Oryzias latipes: one gene and its partners. The protein of the gene in region 3 purifies or fractionates together with the protein of the main gene of each other region. This does not show direct contact. Links are inferred from orthologs where the notes say so. Each region holds a gene or a part of one and is shown on either strand. Other genes may lie near its edges. The genes, in order: rpap2, polr3h, polr2h, mediator of RNA polymerase II transcription subunit 26, polr3d, polr1e and polr3e.

Region 1 (4,160 bases), on a different chromosome or scaffold from region 3:
TCTTCCTTTCTGTTATGATGACGGGGGGCAGGTGAGCAGGCGGCTCCGTGCAGGAACCTGATGGTGTGATCGGTGCACCAGGCTTTCAGAGTCCTCCTCAGGGTCTCCAGGAGGCTCGCTGGCTCCCGTTTGGCTCCCGTGCAGCTCTGCCTCCCCAGCAGAGCCCGCAGCCCTGCAGCTCCTCGCCTGCTCATGCCCACCTGGGTGATGTGGAGGCCCGGCAGGGGGGCTGCTGCTGTCTCATGAAGAGTGCACTCCCTCATCTGAGCTGTTACCTCTTCCAGTTGGGGGCGCTCAGGTGAGTCCTGTGGCTCAGCCTTGCTTGTGATGGGACCGAGCAGCTGTGGGGGTTCAGGATGCGGCCCCCTCGTGTCCTCCTGTGGAAGGCGACTCAGACATTCAGTCCCGTCCGTCCCCTCCTCTCCTTGGCTCCCGTTCTTGCTTTCACCCGTGCGGTCAGCCCAGTGAACCCGGGGTTTCTGCTGCTGGAAGGCCACACTGGAGACAAAGTCCTGCTCCCCACCGCTGCTCTCATCTCCAGCCGAGCTTTGATGATCCCCGCATGGCTCAGCGGGGGCGGCAGCTTGTGGTTTCTCAACGTCTTCCTCTTTGAGGCGCTGATCTGACAGCAGCACCTCCTCTCCGGAGCTCCCACTGGACACACACATGCAACACGTTACGCTCACTCCTGCAGAGGGACGTGCGGCCGCGGGCGCCGAGCACACACCTCTGTCCTGCCGTCAGCAGCCTGATCTTCGGGGGACTGTTGGCAAGAGAGAATTTTTACAAAGACACTCCACCCGAACGTCGAGTCTTACAAAGGCGGAGCAGTTCACAGACCTCTCCAACTTCCTGAGCCACAGAGGCGTCTTTGGGATCTGCAGCTCAAACTCTTTGGAGGCCTTGTAGCAGAAATTACTGCAGAAACGCTAAAGATGACAAATGAGGTCACCTCTTCTGTCTTCAAACTGCGACTGCACTGACAAAGTTCGTTCTTCTTCTGGGAAGAAACTCACCTTGCGCTCTGTGATGTCATAAACTCTGTTCGTCTTGGTAGAGATTTTGAACTGCTGAGACGGGATCTGCAAAGCAGGCAGCAGCGGTTAGACGAGGAAACCCAGACAGGAGCGTCAGCATTACCCTCAGTGGAGGGGCGACGTCTTACTTTGCCCAGCTGCTTTGGACATGTTGGATAACCACACAGCTTTAAGATGGACCGCTCCTCCACAGCATCTCTGTAATTAGCTGGAGTGATGAACTTGGCCTGAACAGAAAATGAGCCTGTGTGTTAAAACCCTTCTTAACCTGACTGACAACAGGTTGACCTCTTTATTAGTGTTTTCTTGTAAATTTCTACCTCAAAGTTTTCCCCATTAGCTTGTGCAAAATTCATTTTCTTTCTGTGCATTTTATCAATTACTTGAAACAATTATTTCCTTATAAAGATCTTTAATAAATGTATCATTAGACAGAATTTTCAAGAATTATACAAAAAAAAAAACCTAAAAGGATTAAGTTGAATTTAACAACTATCTGTCTGTTACATCTTTAAGTTGTTTTGTGTCTTTCTGCTGTAGTTTGCAGTGTTTGATGGTTTGTGGTCTGGAAACCTGGTAATGTTTGTGGGCGTGGCCTTTTCAGCTGGTTTCCCTCGCAACCCAGATCAAAGTGAAGGTGTTATCTAAAGATGGAGATGTTCATACCGACTCCAGGAGGAAGTCTTCTGCCACGCTGCTCTCCAGGAGCTGCTCCACCACCTCCAGGGCTCTCCTCTCCAGCTCCAGCTGCTCCCTCAGCGCATCCTTCCTGGCTCAGGGAAGGAGACGGATTCATTCAAACTGCGCTGCCTACACTGGATCATAAACCTGAGAAGAAAGCCTTCCAAACCTTCTTCTGGCTTCTTCTTCGGCGGTCAGAGTTTTGCTGCGTCTCCCTGCTGTCACACAAACACGAGATTTCACCAGGACATAGACGGAGCCCAGTTCAGTTCATCTGCTAATAAAATACCAAACACGTCCGTCCAAACTACTCAAACCAAACCTTTTCTGGACGTTTTCCCGGGATTCTTCATCTTCCCCTCCGTCGCCATGACACTTCCAGTTCAACTTTGACCTGTGACGCAGTTTTTCTACGGCAGCCGGGGTGGTTCAAACACGCAGCGTTCAGGTCGCGTGCAACAGCAGGAGAGAAGGTAGGTTCTCACTTTCCGCGCGTCTGTTCGTTTTCTGCTTCCAAGAGGAGTTTAATGCGAACGTTTGTTCACGAAAACCCGAGACAGCAGTCCGAGAACGAGCTAACCAATGCCGGCCTGCTTCTGTGAGGGCCGAGGCGGTGCCGCCCCGGTTCTGTAGTGTGTGGACCGAGGCGGTGCCGCGCCGGTTCTGAACTCAAACATCAGCTGCAGTCATGGTCGCCGTTCTGTTCTCTCAGCTGGCTGTCTTCTCTCTCTCATTGGAGGAGCTATTCTTTGTAGGAATGCCAATCCAACAGCCCTCCTCATTAGTTAAACCCTGATGTCCCACCGCACAGAGTTTTGGGTAATTGAGTTTATAGAGGATGGACGTTTTCAGGCTGTTTCTGTGTGCAGGCTGCACTCTGCAGAGGAACTTCATGGTTTTGCTCACGTCGTTACGTCCTTCAAAGGCAAACGTTTGTTTAATTTCCTTAACAGACGTGACATGTTTGTAGGTTTATGTTGTAACATGACACCTCTAGACTACAGTTTCACGAAGCGAATCTCTCTCTTCTTGTCTGAATAAGTAATATCTCACAAAAAACGTGTTCTTTGTAAATGTTAAAATTTTGAACTGCAGAATGATTCAAACGTTTTAAACTTTAAACAGTCAAATCAGAGAAAGCACAGTTTGGTCAGCAGAATTGGTACATTCTTAATGTAATGGAAGTAGATGAATGTTTACTGCTGGTATAAAACTAGAACTTCATAACTGAAAGACCTGCAACATCGATGATCTATGGAGCCTACAGTCTAGACCAGGAGTCAGCAAACTACTGAACTATTAAATCTGACCCTCCAAACTGGAATAAGTGATATTGATAACCCTCAGGATTGTTTTCATTTCCCTGTAGTTCTGGTGTCTCCCTATAGATTCTGCACTTTTAGGTGTGGAAAGTTATTCTGCATTGGTGTGGTGCTGGAGGATTTGTGCATTTTCCAAGTCAGGAAGGCATTTTTCCGAACATTCCAGCACCACATGAACGCAGCGTTTCTCTGAGTTTGTGTTTTTTCGCTGAGGGACATCATATGTGGAAATGGCACCAAAATAAAAAAAAACAAAAAAAAAAACTCAAACGTTCTGTTTTCAAATATGCATATTCCTTTTTCAAAGTTCAAGCATGTTTTCATCCAAATTCCTTGTTATTTCTTGGATGATGAAATGACTCCTCCCATCTGCTCCTGGTTCTCGCTGTCACATCGTTGACCTCTTTGTGGCCCCCCCGGTCAAAAGGTTTGCCCTCCCCTGATCTAGACACACTTCTCTGTATGATCTCCATGGTTTCTACTTTGCTTCCAGCACAGATGGTGACAGTAAGTCATCAGTACAGACATAGAAAAACATCATCATCATCATCATCATCATCAGGACACTCTGATCTGAACTGTTGTTTTTGAAGGACTTCCAGGAAGGACAGACTCTGTCCAAACGGGACTGATGGCTCTGGAGCGATTCAGCAATGTGGTCCAGCTGTGTGTGAGTGTCCACTTTCTTTATTTTATGGTTTTGTTTTCTTGAAATATCCCATGAGCAGCCAGGACAGAAGGTTCAAAGTTAAAGCCTGTGTCCTTTCTGTGTCAGCATCTTCTGGAGGAAAGGAGCAGCTGCAGATTTAATATGAGCAAACCTGTGTGACCGTTTAGGAAAGAGTTCCTGAGAATTCGGATCGATCGTCTCACATGGGCCATATTCTTGTGTTCTGTACCTTTCATCATTTGAGGACACGTTTGGAGTGAAGGAATCTCATCTCCAAGAGTCAAGTCCAGATCCGTCATAACACTGGAACTTTTTGGACACATTTTTAGATTTTTGTTCAGCCTCTTTCTGTGAGACACACAGAAGAAACCTGCTGGATGTTATGCAACTGTAAGACAACATCAGCAGCATTCATGTTTTACATGATACGGAGTCCGTGTCCTGACATGA
Region 2 (3,670 bases), on a different chromosome or scaffold from region 3:
TCATCCAGGCTACTGCCTCCCGGGTGCGGTTCGGCTGCAGCTCACTGCTCCCCCAGGGGATGGGTCAAATGCGGAGAACAAATTTCCCATTGTGGGATAAATACAGTATAACTCTTGAACTCTTCTCTCCAAGCTCCTTCCTTATTGTAATTTGGTTCGTCTTAGTCTTGTCTCTGGTGAACAATCTTCTCCCTGGTGTCCTTTGACAGCTCTGTGGTCTTGGTGGAGACATTGGAGTCTGACTGTTTAAGGGTGGACAGGTGTCTTTTACACTGACAACCAGTTAAAACAGTAACCAATATTGCAAGAAACGAGTGGAAGCTAGAACTTACAGATCCACTCCATTCAAAATTGTGTTTTTGGTGTTTTGAAAATGTTCTTGTGACATTTTTCTCATTATAGACATAAAGAAAATTAAGATTAAAAGTGCCTTACTGAGTATTTCTATATTCAAATTGTGGTGAATCAGGAGCAGATGAAAAAATGCCACACTTTTATAATAGATTAAAATAGATCCAAACATTTATTGGAGTGGGACTTTATAACAGGTCTATGAAGAACAGAATTCTTGCTTGATTGTAGGAGCTAAATTTGTATTTTTTCACTAATAACTAAATAAATTCTTTAAAAATCAAATGATCTGATTTCCTGGAATATTTTTAACATTCTGCCTCTCAAATATGATGAACATTAGACCCTTCTCATCTTTTTAAGTGACACATCTTGCAGAATTGCTTACAGAAATACCTGTTCTCCCGCCATAGCAGAGAAAAATACGACTGATAAACTCACAAGAGAAAGTCAAGTAGTTTGTTTTTCAATTCAGAATATGTACACGGACTTTCAGAAAGCACAGAAGACCATTGCTTATTTACCTTAAATGATGAGGCATTTGAATAAAATCCTCTTTAACAAAAAATAATGAACTATTTCCTCATAGTTTTAAGAAACTCTCACAGGAAATGTATCAAACATAAATTGCCATTCAACACATCACAGTGAGTTGTACATGTAAACATGAAACTGGTATCGGCTGCTTTCACACTGACGATCTCAATTCATCTGTACTCCTGTAACAAAACTATAGAGTTCTTCATGCTGGTTTTTTGTTCCTGCTGACTGAGCAGCAGGTCTCGGGTGATGAGGGACAAACCATCCTCTGTAGTGCTAATTGTTCCACCATGACAGCAGTCCCAGCCCTGGCTCACAGATGGTGCCCTGAAATAGAAACACAGAAATATAAAATAAAGATGTAATACAAATTTATCACTAATAAGAACAAAAATGAAATTCTTATGACAAATTTTGTTTTTTACATGATTTTGCACTTAGTTTTTGATATGCATTATTAAGGTTTTGATCCCAGAAAGCATTTTAAGACTGTAAATGTATGTAACTGCTTTATTGCATTTACACAATCAAACATTTACATTTAAATATTTAGCTTTTTTTCTATTAAAGATTATAGGCTTCTTATAATTGAGACCATTGTGGGGTTAAGGGTCTCGTCCAAGAAGAGAACCCCAACTACCCAAATAGCAGACTGTCACCTTTTAGGACTCACATGACTGTTTAAAAAAATAAAAAGATCCCACTTTCCATTTATTATAAAACTATCTATCCCTCTTAAAAGTACAGAAATACCCTGAGCCTGTTTAGGGAAAAAAAACAAAGAACAGCTCCTGGTGTTGGATTAAGATGTGCACTTTTTATATTTTGCATATTTCAGAATACTTTGAGATGCAACAGAGTGAAGACTGACAGCCAGGCAAACATCAGTCTCAAACTTCACAAATGCTACAGCTGAACAGTCAAAAACTTCAATAAACCTTCCTAAAACTGTGGAAAGTCTTCCAAAAAAAGAGCTGAAGCTCCTACTGTTGCAGAGGATCTGATGGCATCATAATAATTCCTCTAGATTATGAATGGAGTGTCACTAAGGTACAAACATATGTAATGGCAAAGGAGCTAAAAAGTTTTGACGATAGGTGTATTTGCAAAAACGCTTTTTTATGGCATTATGAACTCTTACTATCAGTGTGTACGGCGCTTCTTTCTTCTCTGTGCTCTCCTCTGCAGGTGCTGCTGTGGACTGTCCCGGCTGTGCTGCATTATCAGGCGTAGCAGCAGCTGGACCTGTTGGAGACGTGTCCACAAAGACCTCGTCTGTTACCCGAAACCGGATCTCCTCCCCTTGGTCCATGTAGAGGTCATGAGCCCCTTCATCGGTCTCATACTCCCAGAGCCAAACCTGCTCAGCCTCATCACTGGAGTTTCAGATTAGGAAAGTTCACCTTAAACTGTATAACACTTAGTATCAATAGGATTCCTCAAATGCATCATATTTACGCAGCAAACACAGTCTAATAAAGCAGAGTCAGTAATTGTAAGGTTGGATACAACTTTGCAGGCTGCTGCAGAGACTCTGGTGGAATGAGGATGTCATCAAAGAAGCCCATCGTCACTGTAAAGCAGAGAGACCATAGTTAGACAAGCAAACAATATTTCCACATGTGTGTGAACACATCTGTGTCAGCTGTGTTAAAGAAAACATGATACTTACCATGAACTCCCTCCTGACTGCAGTACTTGATTTTCCCAACAAGGATCTCCTCAAGGAACGGGTGAAAAACAACAAACCTGAAATGAACTGACAACAAAGGTGAGAATGTCAGCAGAAATAGGATTTAGATCTTTAATGTGTGTTTTTTTAAATCTATGTGTTAAAAGAAAATACTGAAAGATTGAAGGACTGTGAGCTGGTTTGACTGACGTCAATATGATTAACTGAAGGTATTCAGAGACTGTCACAGTAATACTGTTGCTGTCATACCTTTGGTGTGTGAAGCGCCATCGCCTGGGAAAATATAGGAGTCCTCCAGTTTAGTAATGTCATACAGACAAATGCAGAGACCCACGTTGAAAACCACCTAAGACAAAAAAGAAGCATTATAGAATAAATGTGTGATATTTGTCATCAATATTGCAATGACAATATGACTTTTGACGAATGAACATAAAGCAAAACAGAAAACTACTACATAATTTCCATTTCACTGCATCAGATTTATTTCAATAAAAATCAAAATAACTTCAATTATACAGCAAATGACCCTTGTCTACAAAGGAGGCGGGAATCTAAGATTAAAGGGGTCCATCCAATTGGTCAAATGCATTAAGGGATCTATTTACATTTAAGATAACCACTCATCATAATTTACACTGTCTTCAGTGCACATATTGCACAGGCTGATATCACGATGACAATAACTTGCAATTTCTTGTGTAGGCTACAAATAAATTGGATATCAATCTGCCATAATAGAGCAGTTACATAGTATCATGATTAGGTGTTTGCTTATTCTGATTTCGTTTTGGGCCATTTGACTAAATAAAATGTGTTAGATCAACAAACTAGTAAAATATGAGACAGAAAACACAAGTTAACCCAACATGAAGTTTTCAACTAAAGGTGTATTATTAAAATCATAATGTCAATCCTACATGGGCAGGTGTGAAAAAGTTCCTATAGTTTCCATATGCGGTTTGTTTCATCTTTGGAAAGATGCTATTTCGTCAAGACCAAGTAGGTTTAGACTCCTCCCCTTTCCCCTGTAAAAACCCTTTACTTTAAATTTGATAGAAAACTTGAAAGATTTAACTGAGTCAA
Region 3 (4,004 bases):
AGTTAATCAACACTTGTAATTGTTTTGTATAAAAGAAAGAAATATTTATTTACAGTGTACCACCAAGTGGAAATCACAGACCTCAGTGTAGTTTGTTGGAGGAACTATAAAAAATACAACAGAGGTTTACAAAAACATGGTGTTTTGTCTCTAAGATGTTCATATGTTCCACTTTTCTAGATCCCAGTTTTACAAAGGTGGATGAAGGCGGTAGAAAACAGAGGAGGGGGGTTAAAAGGCCAGCTTCTTCATGAGGAGATAGACTCTGGAGTCTACCTCAAAGCCGTGTAGATTGTTGGCATCTCCCTGCAGCCTCATGAGAAGGCCTCCATAAGACACATAGGCTGAGCTGAAAGAACAAGCACATCATTAGAGGACTTGATCAACATTTACACATACATACAGTTTATTTAAATTTTTACTAATCACTAAATTGACAGCACTTGACTTTTAACTTAAATAAAGGATTGTAATGATCTACATGCATTTGTGTAGAACTTACAGACGCGTGGCTGCTTCTGTTGAGGTCTCATCGCCTTCTATCTTGTAGACCTTTCCATACATTACATAGTCAAACTGAGCTGCCCTAGAAACAATTTAAAAATGGAAGATGAATCAAAAGCATCACACATTATCTGCCACAGATTGAAAGACATGGATGTTCATTTATCTTCTTTAAATGCCTTGCCTAGATGGTCGATCATCCTGGGGATTGTACTCTCCATCATCTGGCGTTCCATCTTCATATAATGTACTGGCAATCACCAGTCTGAACTTGTCCCCTTTTTGAAACATGCAAAAAAAAATCTGGATTTATCATAGCAATGTACATAATCACCTAAGATCAAGCTACACTTCTAATACAATAGTTTTACATTGAGTCAAAACTGAGTTAAAATAACTTATCAATTCTGCACCAACACCTTACAAGAGTGAAGAATGACAGTTTCACTAAATACTACCAATAATCAATTTAAAAATTCCTCCACAAAGGCCAAATGTCTAAGATCAAACAAGACATAAACAATAAAGGACATTGTTAATTTCTTACCAAGATCAACAGGATAAATCTGAGTATTTACATCCAAGATCAGGTCCATCTTGAAAGATTCACTTTCACAATGCAGACGAGACACTGCAGTATAAGTAATAATAACCTGTATTAGTTTATATTAAAGAGAACTGAAAACATTATGAAACTGACTAACGCGCTTTTAGATATCCATCTTTTTCAAGCAAATGCATATAATGATTATGTTTGTTATTGTGTTAGTTTTAAAGCTACTAAAAAGCAGGATTGAAGGTTTCCCAACTCAGTAATGTGATGACTGTAATGTTTAGCTGTAATAAAATAATAAAATAAAAGCTGTAATTACTGACAACACAATTTTTTAGTCACACTTAACACAATATGAACAAAAATGCAATATACAATTGTAATTATGACTTTTACAACTGAAACTATCTACTGGTGAAGATCGTTTTTGTGTTTTTACAGTGACAGTCCACATACCTCTGTCAAATTTCTTGCCATCTGGATCAATGTCTTTCACATCAAAAATATCTTCAAACAAAATCCCAGCCATCTTTATCCCTTTCTGTTAAACCTAAAACAGATTCATCATAAAACAAAATTAAAAGGGAAGGTTAGTCACACAGCAAAGCATTTTACGTAGCCAAGTCAATCAAGAAAAACACACTATAGCAGTGAGTGCTATATTGTGTTTTTCACAGTTTCAGTGTGAAATTCCTATGACTCTTCTTTCTTCTTTCTTTCTCTTTCGGCTTTTCCCATCAGGGGTCGCCACAGCGAATCATCCTTTTCCACCTCACTCTATCATGAACATCTTCTACCCTAACATTAGCCAACTTCATGTCCTCTGTTAAGACATCCATATATCTCCTCTTTGACCGTCCTCTTGGCCTCCTGCCAGGCAGCTCCATCTCCAACATCCTTCTAGTTCTACCAATATATCCACTATCCCTCCTCTGAACATGTCCAAACCATCTCATTCTGGCTTCTCTGACTTTGTCGCTAACACAGGCAACATGGGCCGTCCCTCTGATGTACTCGTTCCTTATCCTGTCTAACCTGGTCACTCCTAAGCGTTCTGGTCCCGATCTTGACTATAATTAATTAAAAACAAGTTAAAAAGAAAAAGGAATAGGTCAAAACAAATGGAAATCACAAAGCTCTCCCACCGTGTCAAAGTGGGTGAACAAAACTTGTCACAACTTTGGACAACTTTAACAATGTTCACTTACGCGCTAACTGTAGCATCATGTTGTCCACACAAAATATAATACTTACCCCCAAGTGCTGTTCTTGTATTTTTGTGTAAATAGTATGCCCTGGAATGTGGTGAATTCGTGTAAAAACGATAATAATGTAACCTAGACGTCAGATATTTGATTTAGATAGATTTTCATTCATTATTAAGCGAAATAGTCGGTACCGCGCAGAACCAGCGTGTTCGACCTTTGACATAACAAGAACTTCCGTTTTTTTGTCTCTTTTTTTCTTTTAAAAGAAAGACGCATGTTTTGCTTTACTGAATGTTATACATTTTTTAGAAAGGGAAAAATGCGTTGCGATGGTGTAATGTAGAAAAAATGATCACTAAAATAACACCAATTAAATTTGCCTACCGTTTTATTTGAAGGCTCACAATAGGTCAAAGATGGGGAAAAAACGAATAATATTTTGGCTAAATTTTACGTAGCAAATAAAAAAAAGATTTTTATAAAAGTATTTGTTTTCTCTCAATTATTTAACTGATAATTTAAGTAACCAACAACTGAACTAATTTTACGACAGTTTTTACTAACTTCCGTCTGTCGTCATCTTGTTGCTAGGTGCGTTTAGCGTCCTCTGTGTGGACGGTTGCTAGCTAATGTTAAGGCTGTTGTTTTTACCATAAGCGTCATTATATCGAAAAAATAATTACCAATATACATTTTAAGCATAAATAAAATATTTAATGAAACTTCTAATGCGGATTCTTACCAAGAAAAGATGGTCAAACGAGGTAAGGAACGCTCATCATGTGAACAAACCTGACTGAAACAATTATTGACTAGCTTCCTGCAGTTTGCAGCTCTTCAAATCTCTGCCGTTATAGTTAACGTGTTTTCCGCTATAAAATGCATACAAAGATGAAAATAATTTTTTTTTGATCATAGTAGTAACATTAGGATGGTCTTAGTTTTAGGGCAGGGATGTCCACTTAGTTTCTTCTGTTTAGTTTAGCAATCAGCTATTGAATTCTATGACTTTATGTTCTTTATGATTCATGTTTATTACACAATTACCGGAATGAAGCCCATTGAGATGACTATTGCTGTAAATATTGGGCTATAAATACAATGTAATTGAATTGAATACAACTACAGTAACCTCGGTTGGAACAAACAAATAATAATTCGGAAAGAAAACTGAAACCGTACAAGTTAATACAGGTTGTAATTATTTGCTCTTGTTCGAATAAGCAAGACTGGTCATCTTTACATTAAAACGTGAAATTATTGAAGTATTTTTTTCTTTTTCTTTTTGCCTGTCTGTGCTATTCTGTCTGTTCAGACTGTTACCTGTTTTTTGTAAGTGCAAAGGAATTTCAAACTGAGCCCCAAATGACGGCCGGTATTTTGACAGCTGTGGTCCACGGATGAGTTCAACTAAGACAGCCAAGATGGGAGACATCTTGGCAACTGAAGCCGATCTCCTTGGGATGATTAAAGAGGTAAAGCATGATAGGGATGTGAAGAAAAAAACTGCAATTAAAATCCATAATCTGTTTATTCTGATAGTTGATCTAACATTTCAATGTATTCCACGATGGTGATTGTATAATTAACACACTTTGTGTTTGTTCTCTTTAGTACCTGAAGTTTGGGGAATTTGAAGAAACGGTTCAAATTTTTGACAAAGAATGTAAAAGCAAAGGCAAACTTGTCTCCAAGCCTCGAGGAAACGCTCTCAGAGACTCAAAGACTCGTGTCATTCA
Region 4 (2,163 bases), on a different chromosome or scaffold from region 3:
CTCCAATGTAGAAAGGGAAGACTGTCTTCTGTTTGACAGGGATTCTTAGAGGGGTTCAGGTCGGAGCACAGACTGCAGAGTGGTGGATTAAGATGTCTCTTATGTGGGTCTCCATGGAGAGGCCGGATTGAAGGCAAGCCGGATCCTGCCCACGACCCTGATTTAGACAATTTGACTGAACTCACCTGGTTATCACAGGTGTCTGAGATGGATGTCAGTGATCCACACCATAATCCATGAGTTTGATTTGAAAAATTCATCTTTTTGACTCTTAAATACAAAACAATTGCATAATAATTTGGAACACACTGTATAAATGTGAGGTAATGAATCCCAAGAGAAGCATACCAATTTGTTATATCTGCATTTGGTGTCAATCTTTATTGAATGTTGTTCAACAGTGTGGATGCCAGCATTGTCTTTGAACTCATGAAACAACTGTCTGTTTTTTGCAGATTTGCAACATGGTGATTGTGTTGGAAGTAATTAACTGTCTGGAGAAATATCCTATCACCAAAGAAGCACTTGAGGTAAAGCGTGCATTCCTAAACAGATACTCCATACTGAAAGGAAAATACTGACTTTCTTCTCTGATTTTCTCACATATTTTACAGGAAACGCGACTTGGAAAACTGATCAATGATATTAGAAAGAAGACCAAGGATGAAGATCTTGCAAAGCGCGCAAAGAAACTGTTGAAAAACTGGCAAAAACTGATTGAACCTGGGCCAGTTGTGGCACCCAGTGTCACTGGGTCGACAAATGGCAGTTCTCATCTGTGCCGAACCGACCCCTCTCCTCCAGAGATTTCTGTGTTGGGGAAAGGATTTGCTGATGTTAGGATGAGAAATTATGTTCAGAACACGTATTCACCTAAAGCTGAAAAATCAAGCAAGCGCAAGGTAGAGCACAGCAGACTGCACTTAACAGAAAACCTCTCAAAGACGTCTACATATGATAATTCTGTCTCCCCACTACCCACCAATGGGATTGCTGGCAGCCCAAGAACCCAGTTTGAACAAGATGTCACAGTGTCTCCTGGTAAATGCCGAGTAGATCACCTTGATGACGACAGAGTGAACAGAACTTCAGTCAATTCTGTCAGGCCTTGTCCCAACTCCCCTGGGGTGGAAAAACTACCCAGCACTTCCTCTTTGGTTAAAGTTGCAGTAATCCAGCAACATGCCAGGCTGGAGGAAGAAGGAGGGAGCTACAATCAAGGCAAGAGTCCTCGCAGTGTCACTTCCAGTCCGCGGAGCCAGAAGCATGACTCCTTACCAAAGCGCTCCGTACCATATGGACTGAAAGGAACGCCAATCCCAAGTCCTTCTTCCAGAGACTCTCCCTTATCCTTTTCCCAGGCTTTGGCTTCTCCGGGTCAACCATCTTTTGCTGAGAAGCTGCCCCATTTATCTCATAAGCCTTTGTCACACACAACCAGTTTGTATGAACCCCAGGATGTATCTGGAACTCTGGATTCACCATCAGCCTCCCCTCTCCTCTGTCAACAGAATACAGAATCCCAGAGATCAAGATTGGAAGCGGGCTTTGTGGTGTCTGATGATACTGATAGAATGACAGCAGCCAACTCTGAGCATAAAAGGAGGAAGTACAAGTCCAGAGACTTCTCTATTAACCTGGATGGGCAGAAAGTGGAAGACACAACTAAGAGAGTACGGTTAAAAGAACGCAGACTAACGTTTGACCCAGTCACAGGTCAGATCAAACCTCTGGTGCATAAAGATCCTTCTCCAGTAGAGGTGTCCTCTACTCCTGATCCAGCAGAGTTTAGGCAGAGAACAGAAAGTTCTGTCCAGCAGTCGGCTGCCACAACAACAAGTCCTTGCCCTAACCCTTTCCTCCAGACTAACTGGAAAGAGCTGTCTAGAAACGAAATCATTCAGTCTTACTTGAACCTTCAGAGCAATTTGCTCACCTCTTCAGGGGTTCAGACCCCCAGTGCACACTTTTTTATGTCAGAATATCTCAAAAGGGAAGAACAGGAGACCAAAGAGTCCAAGAAAATGCACGTTTTGCAGACAGACAGCTCAAAGGGGGATTTACCAGGCATGAGTCGGCAGTTGACGGACAAGGACTTGGAGAGGATCCACACACAACAGTGGCCAGGAGTAAATGGTTGTTATGACACCAATGGCACCTGGT
Region 5 (4,010 bases), on a different chromosome or scaffold from region 3:
AAATGGCAGTTCAGCTGCAGCAGCAAACTGCATATGCTAGTCCTGCTGGCCCCCCACCTCTCCTTTTCATCATCATCTCGGCCGGCCCCTGCTCAAAGATAGAATGGGACTGGATGATCTCTTGGCGACCTCGGCCCCTGCCTCTGTCTCTCGGCCCTCGACCACGTTCTCCACCTCTCCGATCTCTCCTTTGATCAGTCTCAACTTTGGCTCTGTTGCAACCAAAAATTTTTTTTTTAAAACAGTTAAAGCTTCAGTTTACACGAATTTTATTTGTTCTTCACTGCATTTTTCAATCCTAGAAATAAAATCAACTTACTCCTCTTTAACCTTTCGGCCAATGATGTTGGGTGTGAAGGTTTTCTATAAAATTAAAAAAAAGATAAATGAGTAATAAGAAAAGCTGTTTATTTTTGAAATCTAGAAAAAAAAAATCATGATTGCAAGTAGGGCAAAAGAAGCTACAGAAGGGTTTCTTAATATATCTGGTGTGATTAACTCATCTAACACAATTCCTAACCCAAAGATTAAATGGCGAGTGAGGTATGATGCTAACCTTCTTCACTCCTCCCAGGGTGAGGTCCCTTGACCGCATGGAAGGGAGGCGTCCAGGAGAGAGTCCAGCTGGTGGTCGACGCCCCATCTGGAGTCCTACATTGCTGCTGCTGGCGCCTGCAGGAGTGGGAACGCGTTGACTGCTGGACTCCCCGGAGTCCGCCATCCTGAACTTTAAAGGGATGTCAAACTCCCAACCTGGTGGCCAACAATAATACTCATCATCATCTCTCTCAGACAATGGTGATGTTTAAAAGGAAAATACACAAATATTACATAAAAATTGTTTTCAAATGTCTTTATGAGGAGGTTGCACACATTTTACTGCCAGGTGAAACACTACTCTGGATTCTGTTGGCGTGTGCCTTTAAAACAGTTACGTAATGTCCAGGGTGTGTGGCATCTTTCCAAATACAACTCTTTCCCAATCAGTCTGGTAGTGCACTTCCTATCCCCCTCCCCTCTGTTCTTACTACTTCCTGCACGGTCTTCCTGTCCTCTGTTGTGCCTTCAGACAGCGCGGCACTAGAACTGAACCCTCATTGTTGGCCTTATAAAACCTGACCAGCAGTTCCTGAAAGAAGAGGGCCTGCCTCAACTTCCTGAGAAAGTACTGTGTTCTGACCAGGTGATCTCAGCTGTGACGTTTATTTATGGCCCCTCATCCTCGTGTGTCGCCAATCATTGGATTTCAAAGTAAAGCTACAGGCTAGAAGTTCTTTTGTTTTGTTTTTTTGGCCCCTATGCCAAAATTTAAAAGAACCAGCTGTTATCTCGCAAAATAAGATCAACGCACTTGTTTTTGTAATACATCTTTGCAAGAAAATTAGCAATGCTCAACAGCACGTGACACTAAAATTAGCAAAAAGATAAAGAAAAGATTTTTAGTGTCTTATCATCGCTACAAAAGGGGATTTGCGTGTCCCTCCCTTCATGTCCACAAATTCTGTCACTTGAACTGCAGCAATATTTAAACTTAATTTCATCTTCAAAAAATACAAAAGCTCAAAAAACAATTGAAATTTGTAAATTTTTTGGACTACTGATATAAGTTTACTCTCGTATTTTCTCTTTTTATTATTATTTTTTTTTAACTTTATTTTATTTTTTTCTTTGTTTAGTTTTATTTTATTTATTTATTTTTATTTGTTATTGCCTTTTGTGATTGCTTCTAATAATTAAAATTTTCTTAATGTTGTAACACGTTTATTCTACTGTACATTATATGTGCATAATTGTTGCATTCTCTTGTTCTGTATGTTGCAATTGTCCAATTAAAAAAAAGAATTCTGTTATTTCCCTAAACAAACACATTGAGCATGCGCGTCTTACAGGGTATGTTTGATTTGTTGTGCGGGGACGCTCAATTCCTTCACAGTCAAGAGGGCATGTTTCTGTGCCAGCTGGAGGTTGGTTAGTTTGTAACAAGACCAGAAAATCGATCAATGATTTCTGCTGTTTTTCTGAACACTATTGTGATTATGGTCACATGTCTTTTCTAAATTAATTGTTTTTCCACACATTGCAATGGAATGATGCTTTGACATTTCTTTGCTAACATCACCATCACGTCGTTTTTACGCTATAGTTAAAAAACCAAGCATGTATCTGAATGGTACTTTCCAAGATCGATTATCAATTTAATATAATTTTGAAAGGATTTTATAATGGTACAGTTCGATTTGAATCCATTATCAACTTGTTTCAGCCACAAAATCTGTTTTGATGTGTCACTTTATTAATTAATCATTAGACCCCATACCTAAAATTAATGTTATTGAGGTTTACATTAATGTAATTTGTAATAATACCGGGATAAACAAAAATATACTTTCAGTCCGTTCTGTAACCTTTTTCTTTTTATCTTTTTTACTCTGTTGTGGTTCTGAACGTAAGCAATTCAAGACATTAATTAGGAATGATTTCTTAAACTTTCGAGTCTAAGCATTGAGAATAAATTGTGTTTACAATGATATTTGTCAGTGATTTAAATACACAACCAGTATTTACATACGATGAATGAAGAAAAATGTTACAGAAACACGTGGCTAGTAAGATAGATCACAAACAACGCGAAAGCTGTCCAGAGGAAGTCTTAACATATTGCAGTTCTCCAAAAACTTACACGACACGTCCTCGGTGGTCCTTATTCGGAGTTTTCCCCCCTAAAACCTGCCAGATATCAGAAACAAAATCCTGTTGCCTCGTCCACCGCTGCATTCACTAGCGGCGCCATGACACTTCCGCTTTGGCTTCAACTTGCTCTCGAGGATCAAACATGCGCAGAAAAACGCGCATGCTTAGAAACATTATTTTGTTTTATTTTTATGTTTTATTTCAGAATCCACAGTCCAAAAAAATTCACTGTCATAAAAAAGATAAGATTAGATAAACGATTATACTAGTCTTTCCAAATGTTTCCTAAAACAGCTAAATGAAAATTATATTTTGAGTTCTGACATATCGTGCATTAGTTTTCCTGCAAGTTTTGTCAGATTCATAAAAATCTTTTGCATGGATTAATGTTATTGAATGTTTTGAAATAAATGTCTCAGATGTGAAGAACCAAAAGATATGGCATATTTCGAGATTGGAAATTTTTTTTTTCTAAAGATGTTATTTTCCTCTGACATGCTAAGGGAACTGATTATATTACTACTACTACTAACAATAATAATAATAATAATAATAATAATAATAATAATAATAATAATAATAATAATAATAATAATAATAATAATAATAATAATAAATATTTCATTTGTTTGGGCACTTGTTTCCTTGGTTATTTTCTGTCTTACAGCAAAATAGTCTTATGCAACATTCACGCTTTTATATTTCTCGCCTTTCAGCATATTCCTTCTGGGGTCTCGACAGCGAATCAGCTTTCCCTGATTCTCACAGGTAGCTTTGCAGAGATTTTTGCGCCAGATGATCTTCCTGACACAACCCTGTATTTTATCCTAGCTGGGGACCGGCACAGGGGAACCTAGACTTGGGCCCCCTTGTGGCTGCATAGTTACGCAGTACAACAAAGGGTCTTGCCTAAGGGCCCACACTGCATCAAGTTCATTGTGGCCCCTGGGAAGCGGATCCTGGTTTCCCATGATCCAGTCCTACACAGAGCCAACTGAACTATCCATTTGCTACCTTATGCAAACAACTGCATGCAGTTAAATAAAACAGTAAGATTAAATATTTCCATGCAGTTAAACAGATTAAATCTAATATAAACTCTAAATGGAAACTCACATCTTTACATTTTTAAGGAATTAAAATAGAGTTTGTGATATAAGTAATGAATGTTCCTACTGTGTGATATAGTAATAATACAAATAATCTGTTAAAGGAAACATCCAATAGGCCTTCAGAGTGCAAAGAAAATATTTGTTTTTAATATGTGAAAAATATAAATAGATGCAGTTAAATAAATCAATTTGATCAAACAGGGAAAG
Region 6 (4,103 bases), on a different chromosome or scaffold from region 3:
CTTTGCAAATGTTGGGACATGCTGCCAAGTCCGACCCTAGGTTGTCATAAAATGTGCGAAACCCACACAGAGAGAAAGGTGGTGCCTCAGAGAGAGTCGTCTTATGTTCGGGTTGGAAAATCAGTTGGTAAAATAACTAAGATGTTTTAAAGGGAGAGAATTTGGGGTTTTTGTACCTGGCCTCATTGATTTCCAGGTCACGGTGAAGCAGTGAGAGGTTAACAGTCATGTCACCCAAATGCAGCAACAGAGCCAGACTGTGAGCTGCTATTTTGGCCCGCATTGATGTCGACACAATGTTCTGGACCCTAAAAGGAGAACACAAAACACATTTGTCAGCTTTTTTTTTTTTTAAACCTTAACAAAAGAGGGGGTACTGTCGCATACACACCTGCCATTATTGTATGTCTCCACTGTAAATGTTCGGAGAATTTTACTTTGAATGACACGAGGACAACCTTCCTCAGTCCAAACTGCAAACAAAAACGGGTGGAATAGAAAAAGCATCATACATTACAAAACTTTAGGGGCAGGGCATTTTAACGTGTTGATCAGCGATATTTAGAATCTACTACTTCAATAACTGAGATTCCAAAATTCTGCTCACATTTGCGAGTGACAATCTTCTGATGGGCAAGTTTGATGAGGAGAGACAGGTAAAAAGCGCAGCGAGCAGTTTTCTCTCTAGGTTCACTTGCGGATGGCATGTTCTCCAGGTGCTTCATCACACACAGATTCCTTTGGTAAGAAATAGAGAAATATTTCAATTCAATAATAAGTAAATAAGGCTAATAAGACAAAAATGCTCTCTGCTACCATACCCTCTTTGGTCTTTCAACTTCTGCAGCTCCTCTTGGCTTAGTGCCGTCATCTTTTGACCGTTCGGCTCCAAAGCAGCAAATTCTACTGGACTCAGTACTGTTGAAGTCAAATTAAGGATGGAGAAAAGTGCTGCTTTTGCTCGAACTACATATGCATGTAATTTCCAATATCTGTTCAAATTGGGGGTGGGGGGGTAATGTTAAAAAGATACGCTCTTCAAAGGGGTAGACATCTTCTTTTTTGTCTGCATCTGCATTGCAGGGAGGTAGGTGTAACGACAGGGCTCCTTGAGACTCTGTTTCAGCTACTTCCTGTTGCAGAGCTAACAAGAAAAAAAGGGGGAAAAAAACATGTAGTAAAAAAAAAATGATGGCAAGTCCAGTATGAATTTGAGTTATATTTTCTTGTCTAGATTACTCCAAAAGGCTGAAAGCTTCACGCTTACCTTCCAGACCCTTGTTATCAATCACAGTGCTGGCAGCTTCAGCCACTGCATGATGCAGAGCATCACTGCCCACCTGGTTGAGCCTGCGAGAGCTCAGAGCTCGTTTCTGTTTATTCGTGCCAAAGGCCTCAATCAAGGAGTCAACCTTGAGAAAGAAAAAAAAAACATGACTTCACTGTGTGCTTGTTTGTTTCAAAAGAAAGCTTGTTTTTCTCATACCTTTTCCCTGTAGGACAGAGTGGTGTCCTGAGGCTTTGCATCATGTGTTGCCTCTCCTGGTGGAAATTAACTGGCATTACTAAATTGCCCTCCTTTAAAAATCGCTTGTTATTGTTTTGGGGATTGCATTTCTTTTACCTGGTATGACAGGTTGCATGTTGAATAGCTGAGCGCTGTGTATCTCCATCTGCATGGTTTCTTTATTCAAAACTCCAACATAATATCTGAAAATAATTGCATCACAAAACTCATTCGATAAGGATACGAAAGGTCTATATCAAATGTTAATGTATATAAAATGTAATGATAACAAACCTGCAAAGATTATTGCATTTCATTAAATCTTCTCCAAAATTCTGCCCGACATAAGACAACCTGTCTGATTCAGCAACCTAAATGGAACAGACAACTGTTACATATTTAATGAATGCGAATCTGTCATTTTTGTTTAATTATTATGGTATAATGTACGTGTGTGTGGTTGTAAATATATGGATATGCATCTCTTATAACATTTTTTATTTTACAATCAAAAAATGACAAACCATCTTAAGTTTGATAAACATATGAGTGGATTTGTATTTCTTCTTCAGTGTGATGTTATATTGATTGCTTGAAATATATCAATTCCATGCAAACTATGGTGTGTGCGAGCACGCATGCGCAATTTCTCACCACGATCCGCCTTATCTTTTTCCTCGGATTATTTTCTTCTATGTTCTTGAATGTGGCAAAATCCAGTTCCTCTGCATTGCTGGTGAAACCATTCGAAAATCGGACTGCAAAAAATACAGAGAATGGCGTGTTAATGTTGATTATGTGTGAGAATATTGCCTTGTAACTTTCACGTGTTCTGATTACTCCTGAAAAATGGAATAGTTTTATACACTTGAATGCAACACAGATAACTCAAATACTGACTGTATGCTCGCCTGCTTTAGAGATTATTGTTTCAAAAAGGCTGAGATGAGAATAATTACCTATGATCGCTTTGTCAGACTCCCTTTCCTCCTCGCAGCACACCATCCTGCACGAGGCGGCCATGATTGTTGTTGTGATCTGTGAAAGGAGCGAGAGGACTCACTCATCTGTATTTACGTAAAACGTAACGCTCAGTGAATTTGGTCAATGACGAATTTTTGTCTTTTCTTAAAGCTGTCTAAAAACATTTTTTTTCTAAATACACGTAAATATTATTCACAACACCTGTCTTAATAAAGTAGATATTTAAAACCATTTCGCTCAATAGTTTTCATCCTAGACACTTACGAACGACAGCGACACCCTGTGGTGAATCATTCAAACTGCTGCGCTTTACCTCAACGAGGTCATTTCAATCAAGGTGCAGCAGCGCCACCCTGTGAGTCTGGATGGGGAAAAAAAGCCGTCTGAATAAATGTTCGTATAGATTAAGCAAAACGTGCTGCTTGGTAAGCGCCGGAAACACACCAGATCATCGGTATTATGATATTGTTCTGAAGTTGTATCCTGCTCATCGGTCATCCTAAAGCTAACGACCATCGCAACTCCCTTCTTCTCGACAGTTGAACTACTACGCCGTTCAGACTGTATTGGAGAACTACGAGGAAGTGGCTTAGAGGAGATGTTATGAACACCGCAATGGAAGGGTTAGCCATAGGTAGCTGCACTTGAGGGGACATTTTGTGGGGGAAAGGGTGTCGGCGGAGACGATCTTTTGGGGAGACCTAATGCACCCGCTGGTGCTGCTATATAGCTAGAAGGAGTTGGCTAGCCGCGCGGCTGCTAACGAGACTCACTACTAGCCTCTTCACTTTTTTTCCCTGAATATTTTCTCAATTTTTTTCCTTCGGGGACACACTTTTTGGAAGACTTAAAGGTAATTTGTGCTATTTGACATTTTTAAAATCTAGTATATGTTATTTATTGTTTATAACCCACATGATTGTCCAGTTTAAACTTGCAAGCTATTCTTTAAGGTCTGTTTTGCAGTAACCGAATTCTCTATCATCAAGTTGCGATAAAAAAATATAAAGTTTGGGGAATTTAAAACGACTAATTACCCAAAGTTTTTGAATGTAATAAATGTTACAACACGGTTATCGCATAGTAAGATATTGAATTCTATTTTAGGCCACAGAATTCTATAAAATTAAATCAATTATTCTGAAAAAAAAATTAGCTAGCTTACTTAAATTTCCTTCTTTTGTGTGTGTTATATGTTGAGTCTTTGGAAACGCTTTTAACCAAAGTGACTCACTAGTTTATTACAATCCAAGGCAACGTGAGGTTAAGTGTTTCGCCCAAGGACACTTTTGACTGTGTAGTCTTGGATTTAAACCCCCAATCTACTGACCTTCAAATTCTTTCCTTAGTTATGTCTATGTTAAATAGTCAAAAGGAAGTCAAATGTGTGTGTTTTGCACTGATAATGACATATTGAAGTCAGCCCAAAAAGCCAGAATGTTTCTAAGACTTGTTGTCTTGTTGATTAACTTAACTTCACATTCTGAGTAACTTCACATTCTGAGTGGCTAAACACACCTGATGATCCAGGGAGCAGGGAGAGCTGGGAAACAGTCAAGGTGGTAGATCTGTTGGGCAGCCCCCTGTGAAATCATTGATGTCCACGTCCTTC
Region 7 (3,500 bases), on a different chromosome or scaffold from region 3:
GATGGTACCGTTCCTTTAAGGTACCAGCAGCCTGCGTGGCTGCTGCAGCACTCCTATAATGATAGACAGCAGGTTGGAATGATGAGGCACAGCTGGTTGGAGGTGGATGCTCAGCCTCGGCCACGCCCTCTTACTTGAAGAACTCTGTCGACATCGGCCTTCGACGTGTCGCCGAGCTCCTGCGACAGCTTGGTTTGAACCATGCCCCTCCTGACCCGGAAGTTTTTGGTGAAGAGGTCGTAGAGCAGCCGACGATGCTGCAGCGGGAAAACATGTTTGACCTTAATGGTTTCACAGAGTTATCCTTCAGGAAACGGCTAAAAAGTCAACTATAAAAGATTCCCTTTAATGATTTTAGATGAGCATTTACAGCCAGAAACTTATAATCATACAAGTGTTTGAGTTCAATCGGATTTCTTCTAGAGTTTATTTAAAGCAGAAATACACAAAGAATTGAAGGTGCTCTTACCTGGTCAAAGTTGTCTCCACTCTCCCACAATCCAAACACTTTTTGTTCATCAGGAGCTGCTTTGCTTTGTGCAGGAAACTAAAACATTGAAGAAACAGACAAAAAAAAAGGTTCATTTCTGATGATTTCCATTTCTAGACACAAAACCTACTAATCTGACAAATGAGTCGAGTCATAGTTATGGGACTATACTCGATGTACCTGAGGCAGAGTTTTCAGGATGCTCATCAACAACTAGTCCAGACATCCACTGTCAAATCTAGGAGAACTGTGTAGTCAGAGTCTGGTTTATGGTGTTTCAATAGATAAAAAAAAAAGCATTTCTGCATCAATTACAGCTCATTAACTTTATTTTATGGTCAGATAGGAAGTTAGACTGTAAAGAGAACTGGATTCTCTCTCCTGACAAGAATTCAATACGGATCCATAAGTGGTTCTTTTAAAGACGCACTTCGATTAAGATGGAGTTGTTGTTTTCTCATGTTCCTGTTAAACATAAAGGACATATATTAAGAAAATTAAGCTTAAAATTGCTTTTTTTAAATATTTCTTTATTTAAATCGTTGGGAATCAGGAGCAGACAGAAAAATGCCGTTTGAAAAAGCTTTTGGGTGTGATGTAGAACCTACAATGGCAACGCTTTAAAAAATGGATCAAAAGATGATCAGAGTGGAGCTTTAAGCGATAAATAAATGATAAACTGAGGTCTTGATCTGGTTGAGTTGAAGAAGACAACCTCCTGCAGTAAAGCTACTTCAGAGCTGTAAGGAGCTTTGCTTTGGGGCTAATCACCTGTTGCATAACAGAGACGGCTTTAGGCCAGTGTCTTAAAATCCTCCAAAACAGACAGTGTAGAGAAAATAAGACCAGAGTTCTTTGTTCTCTCTGAGCCATGACCCAAAAGAGTAATAGAGTACTAGAACCGTACACCAGCGTCAGATGGCCTTGATAGACCCTGAGAGGTTTACATCACCTGAGTGAGGCTTCTTCTTTAAAAGCAACTGTTAAAAGTCGTTAGTGAGAAAAGAAAACTGATACCAGCATTTGGGGGCTTTTAGCAGCTGTGGGAATCCAGAGCAGCGGTTCTTAATCCAAGCAGAACATGATAAATGCTTTAAAACATGAGAATAAATCAGAGCTAAAATGGAAAGAGGCCATTTACACTGAAATTAGCTCTTTGTCGGTTTACATGACAAAGGAGCCAAACCACCAAGTCCTCTAATCAGTCTGAAGATCTGTTTCACAAGAAAAGACTTGAACCGACAACCAGCCTGCTCAGCAGCACTGTGGTCCAACAGCAGGAAGCCTGAGACACAAATACAAATCATCTGCAACAACATCCAGACTTACTGCAAATGCCACTTAAACTATTTTACGATTGTGACAAGAGTTTTACTTAGTAACAGATTTTGTTCAGCAGCATCAGTGGTTCAGGTCCTGTTCTTCTAAAATGTTGATGGGCGGATGTAGTCTCTGTAGTACAAGATCAGTGGTTTCTATGCTTCCTGTTGTTTTGCATTCCGTACACAAAAGCTTTCCTTCTTTGAATCATCCTGCAGCAGTGTTTTTGGTGTTTCAAACATGCTCTTACAGCATTTTTCTCAAAATGGATGACATGAAATAAAGAAAATTAAGCTAAAAATTGCATTTTTTGAGGATTTCTCTTTTCAAATTGTTGTGAATCAGGATGCATCTTAACAATAATTACTTTTTATGCACAAACAGTAAAAGTTTATTTAAATTCTAGATCATTTTATATTTAAGGAGTTAATCAAGTATAACCTCAATACTCACAGGCACCAGGATCTGTTTGCACTGGCAGAGCAGCATGGCGTCTTGCAGCAGGTGATCAGAGACAGAGTGGAAGACACTTTGTCCAGACGGTAAAGACGCCAGGTGAAGGTTAAAGAGTCGCTTTAGCTCGTTCAAGGTCAATACAAAATGCTTCCGGAAAGTCTTTTTCACAAAGTCCAGCAGTTGCGGAGGCGGCACGCTCGCGGGGCTCCCCCCGTTGACCTGATCGAAGCAGGGGGAGGAGGCGGGGTAACCGTTCATCGAGCCGTTGGGGGCAGAAGACGAGGAGGTGTCCATTGGCTCGTCCTCTCTGTCGCTACTCTGCTCCTGCTTGATGTGGACGATGTTTCCTGCATGCTTAGCATCCAGATCCTTCTGCAGGGACGACTGGTTGGCTTTCGCCCGATCCTGAGCCATCTTCAGGCGCTGGTCCCCGCTGATGTGGACGGGCTCTGGAGCAGAACACACTGATGTCAGAAAAGTAAAGACAAAATCATCACCATTTTAAAAACGCCATGTAGAGCTTGTCCTCACCAGGCTGAGGGGAATTCTTGGGCAAAAAGTCTTCTTTACAGACATTAAACACCTTTTCCAACCTTTAAGGAAACGACTGGTAACTTTTTTTTGAAGAAAAAGGCAAAAAAGGAATTTTTTTTTCAGTGGCTCGAGTTCGTCATACTTGCTCTGGATTCCGAGCCACAGCATGTTCTGTCGGTGTGCTACGTCTGGATGCTTCCTTATGAAGTCCACGTCCGTGGGCAGCAGGAACTCCCAGCCGCGGTTGACCCGAGGAACGGCCACGTGCTCCAGAAACTCCTTCACGTCCTCCGGAGGAAGCTGAAGGGGGCAGAAGAAGAAGAGAAGCTGGTTACCCCACTGGACAAAAGGGAGATTTCAAGAAGGAAAAAAAGCAACAAATCAGCACAGCACACAAAAAATGTGTTACATTTAAAATCAAGACATCATTGGTTCTTACTTTGATGATGGATGCGATCTCCTTTCTCATCACAGAACGCTCCAGAGTGAACCTCCAAATCTTGAGGAATAAAACATTAGTTTTATATGTATCATGTAAAGCCAGAGCATTCACTTTTCTTTGTATTCATGCCAACAGAAAAACACAAACGGGGTCAGCAGCTCACCACAAAGTCTCTGCCGCGACAGAGCACTTCAGCCGGAACGCCGCTGTGAGCACTGCAGGTGTTTTTTGGATACAGAACATCGCTGAGGACAAAAC

Evidence for each region.
Region 1: the proteins of polr2h (region 3) and rpap2 purify together in Homo sapiens (affinity purification with mass spectrometry; 3 studies listed by BioGRID and IntAct, with this or other methods). This does not show direct contact. The link is inferred for Oryzias latipes from reciprocal best matches to the Homo sapiens genes POLR2H and RPAP2.
Region 2: the proteins of polr2h (region 3) and polr3h purify together in Homo sapiens (affinity purification with mass spectrometry; 5 studies listed by BioGRID and IntAct, with this or other methods). This does not show direct contact. The link is inferred for Oryzias latipes from reciprocal best matches to the Homo sapiens genes POLR2H and POLR3H.
Region 4: the proteins of polr2h (region 3) and mediator of RNA polymerase II transcription subunit 26 purify together in Homo sapiens (affinity purification with mass spectrometry; 3 studies listed by BioGRID and IntAct, with this or other methods). This does not show direct contact. The link is inferred for Oryzias latipes from reciprocal best matches to the Homo sapiens genes POLR2H and MED26.
Region 5: the proteins of polr2h (region 3) and polr3d purify together in Homo sapiens (affinity purification with mass spectrometry; 4 studies listed by BioGRID and IntAct, with this or other methods). This does not show direct contact. The link is inferred for Oryzias latipes from reciprocal best matches to the Homo sapiens genes POLR2H and POLR3D.
Region 6: the proteins of polr2h (region 3) and polr1e purify together in Homo sapiens (affinity purification with mass spectrometry; 3 studies listed by BioGRID and IntAct, with this or other methods). This does not show direct contact. The link is inferred for Oryzias latipes from reciprocal best matches to the Homo sapiens genes POLR2H and POLR1E.
Region 7: the proteins of polr2h (region 3) and polr3e purify together in Homo sapiens (affinity purification with mass spectrometry; 3 studies listed by BioGRID and IntAct, with this or other methods). This does not show direct contact. The link is inferred for Oryzias latipes from reciprocal best matches to the Homo sapiens genes POLR2H and POLR3E.

What each region holds. Positions count from the first base shown.
Region 1 is NC_019875.2:5,934,870-5,939,029, reverse strand, and holds the start of rpap2 (putative RNA polymerase II subunit B1 CTD phosphatase RPAP2), read right to left. Parts: upstream 2,801-4,160; 5' UTR 2,090-2,800; coding exon 2,041-2,089; intron 1,937-2,040; coding exon 1,888-1,936; intron 1,807-1,887; coding exon 1,704-1,806; intron 1,265-1,703; coding exon 1,166-1,264; intron 1,083-1,165; coding exon 1,017-1,082; intron 930-1,016; coding exon 841-929; intron 764-840; coding exon 728-763; intron 655-727; coding exon 1-654. Other genes in the region: glmn (glomulin), read left to right, coding at 3,672-3,710.
Region 2 is NC_019866.2:19,484,386-19,488,055, reverse strand, and holds the end of polr3h (DNA-directed RNA polymerase III subunit RPC8), read right to left. Parts: intron 2,931-3,670; coding exon 2,834-2,930; intron 2,651-2,833; coding exon 2,564-2,650; intron 2,465-2,563; coding exon 2,401-2,464; intron 2,268-2,400; coding exon 2,033-2,267; intron 1,219-2,032; coding exon 1,168-1,218; 3' UTR 501-1,167; downstream 1-500.
Region 3 is NC_019862.2:11,777,309-11,781,312, reverse strand, and holds the start of polr2h (DNA-directed RNA polymerases I, II, and III subunit RPABC3), read right to left. Parts: upstream 2,801-4,004; 5' UTR 2,650-2,800; intron 2,503-2,649; exon of another isoform or gene 2,312-2,502; intron 1,608-2,311; 5' UTR 1,587-1,607; coding exon 1,514-1,586; intron 1,136-1,513; coding exon 1,052-1,135; intron 783-1,051; coding exon 689-782; intron 587-688; coding exon 503-586; intron 350-502; coding exon 232-349; 3' UTR 1-231. Other genes in the region: lisH domain-containing protein ARMC9, read left to right, coding at 3,666-3,740, 3,880-4,004. UniProt on the Homo sapiens protein: DNA-dependent RNA polymerase catalyzes the transcription of DNA into RNA using the four ribonucleoside triphosphates as substrates.
Region 4 is NC_019875.2:6,560,887-6,563,049, forward strand, and holds part of mediator of RNA polymerase II transcription subunit 26, read left to right. Parts: intron 1-455; coding exon 456-530; intron 531-614; coding exon 615-2,163. UniProt on the Homo sapiens protein: Component of the Mediator complex, a coactivator involved in the regulated transcription of nearly all RNA polymerase II-dependent genes.
Region 5 is NC_019867.2:17,411,597-17,415,606, forward strand, and holds the start of polr3d (DNA-directed RNA polymerase III subunit RPC4), read right to left. Parts: upstream 2,801-4,010; 5' UTR 2,681-2,800; intron 754-2,680; 5' UTR 722-753; coding exon 557-721; intron 364-556; coding exon 320-363; intron 213-319; coding exon 58-212; intron 1-57. UniProt on the Homo sapiens protein: DNA-dependent RNA polymerase catalyzes the transcription of DNA into RNA using the four ribonucleoside triphosphates as substrates.
Region 6 is NC_019859.2:12,631,185-12,635,287, forward strand, and holds the start of polr1e (DNA-directed RNA polymerase I subunit RPA49), read right to left. Parts: upstream 2,801-4,103; 5' UTR 2,786-2,800; coding exon 2,756-2,785; intron 2,546-2,755; coding exon 2,467-2,545; intron 2,266-2,466; coding exon 2,162-2,265; intron 1,879-2,161; coding exon 1,802-1,878; intron 1,711-1,801; coding exon 1,625-1,710; intron 1,543-1,624; coding exon 1,487-1,542; intron 1,413-1,486; coding exon 1,268-1,412; intron 1,145-1,267; coding exon 1,034-1,144; intron 919-1,033; coding exon 822-918; intron 739-821; coding exon 608-738; intron 474-607; coding exon 392-473; intron 309-391; coding exon 177-308; intron 1-176. UniProt on the Homo sapiens protein: Component of RNA polymerase I (Pol I), a DNA-dependent RNA polymerase which synthesizes ribosomal RNA precursors using the four ribonucleoside triphosphates as substrates.
Region 7 is NC_019877.2:13,135,777-13,139,276, forward strand, and holds part of polr3e (DNA-directed RNA polymerase III subunit RPC5), read right to left. Parts: intron 3,488-3,500; coding exon 3,406-3,487; intron 3,300-3,405; coding exon 3,240-3,299; intron 3,101-3,239; coding exon 2,943-3,100; intron 2,860-2,942; coding exon 2,798-2,859; intron 2,716-2,797; coding exon 2,264-2,715; intron 548-2,263; coding exon 470-547; intron 258-469; coding exon 135-257; intron 54-134; coding exon 1-53. UniProt on the Homo sapiens protein: DNA-dependent RNA polymerase catalyzes the transcription of DNA into RNA using the four ribonucleoside triphosphates as substrates.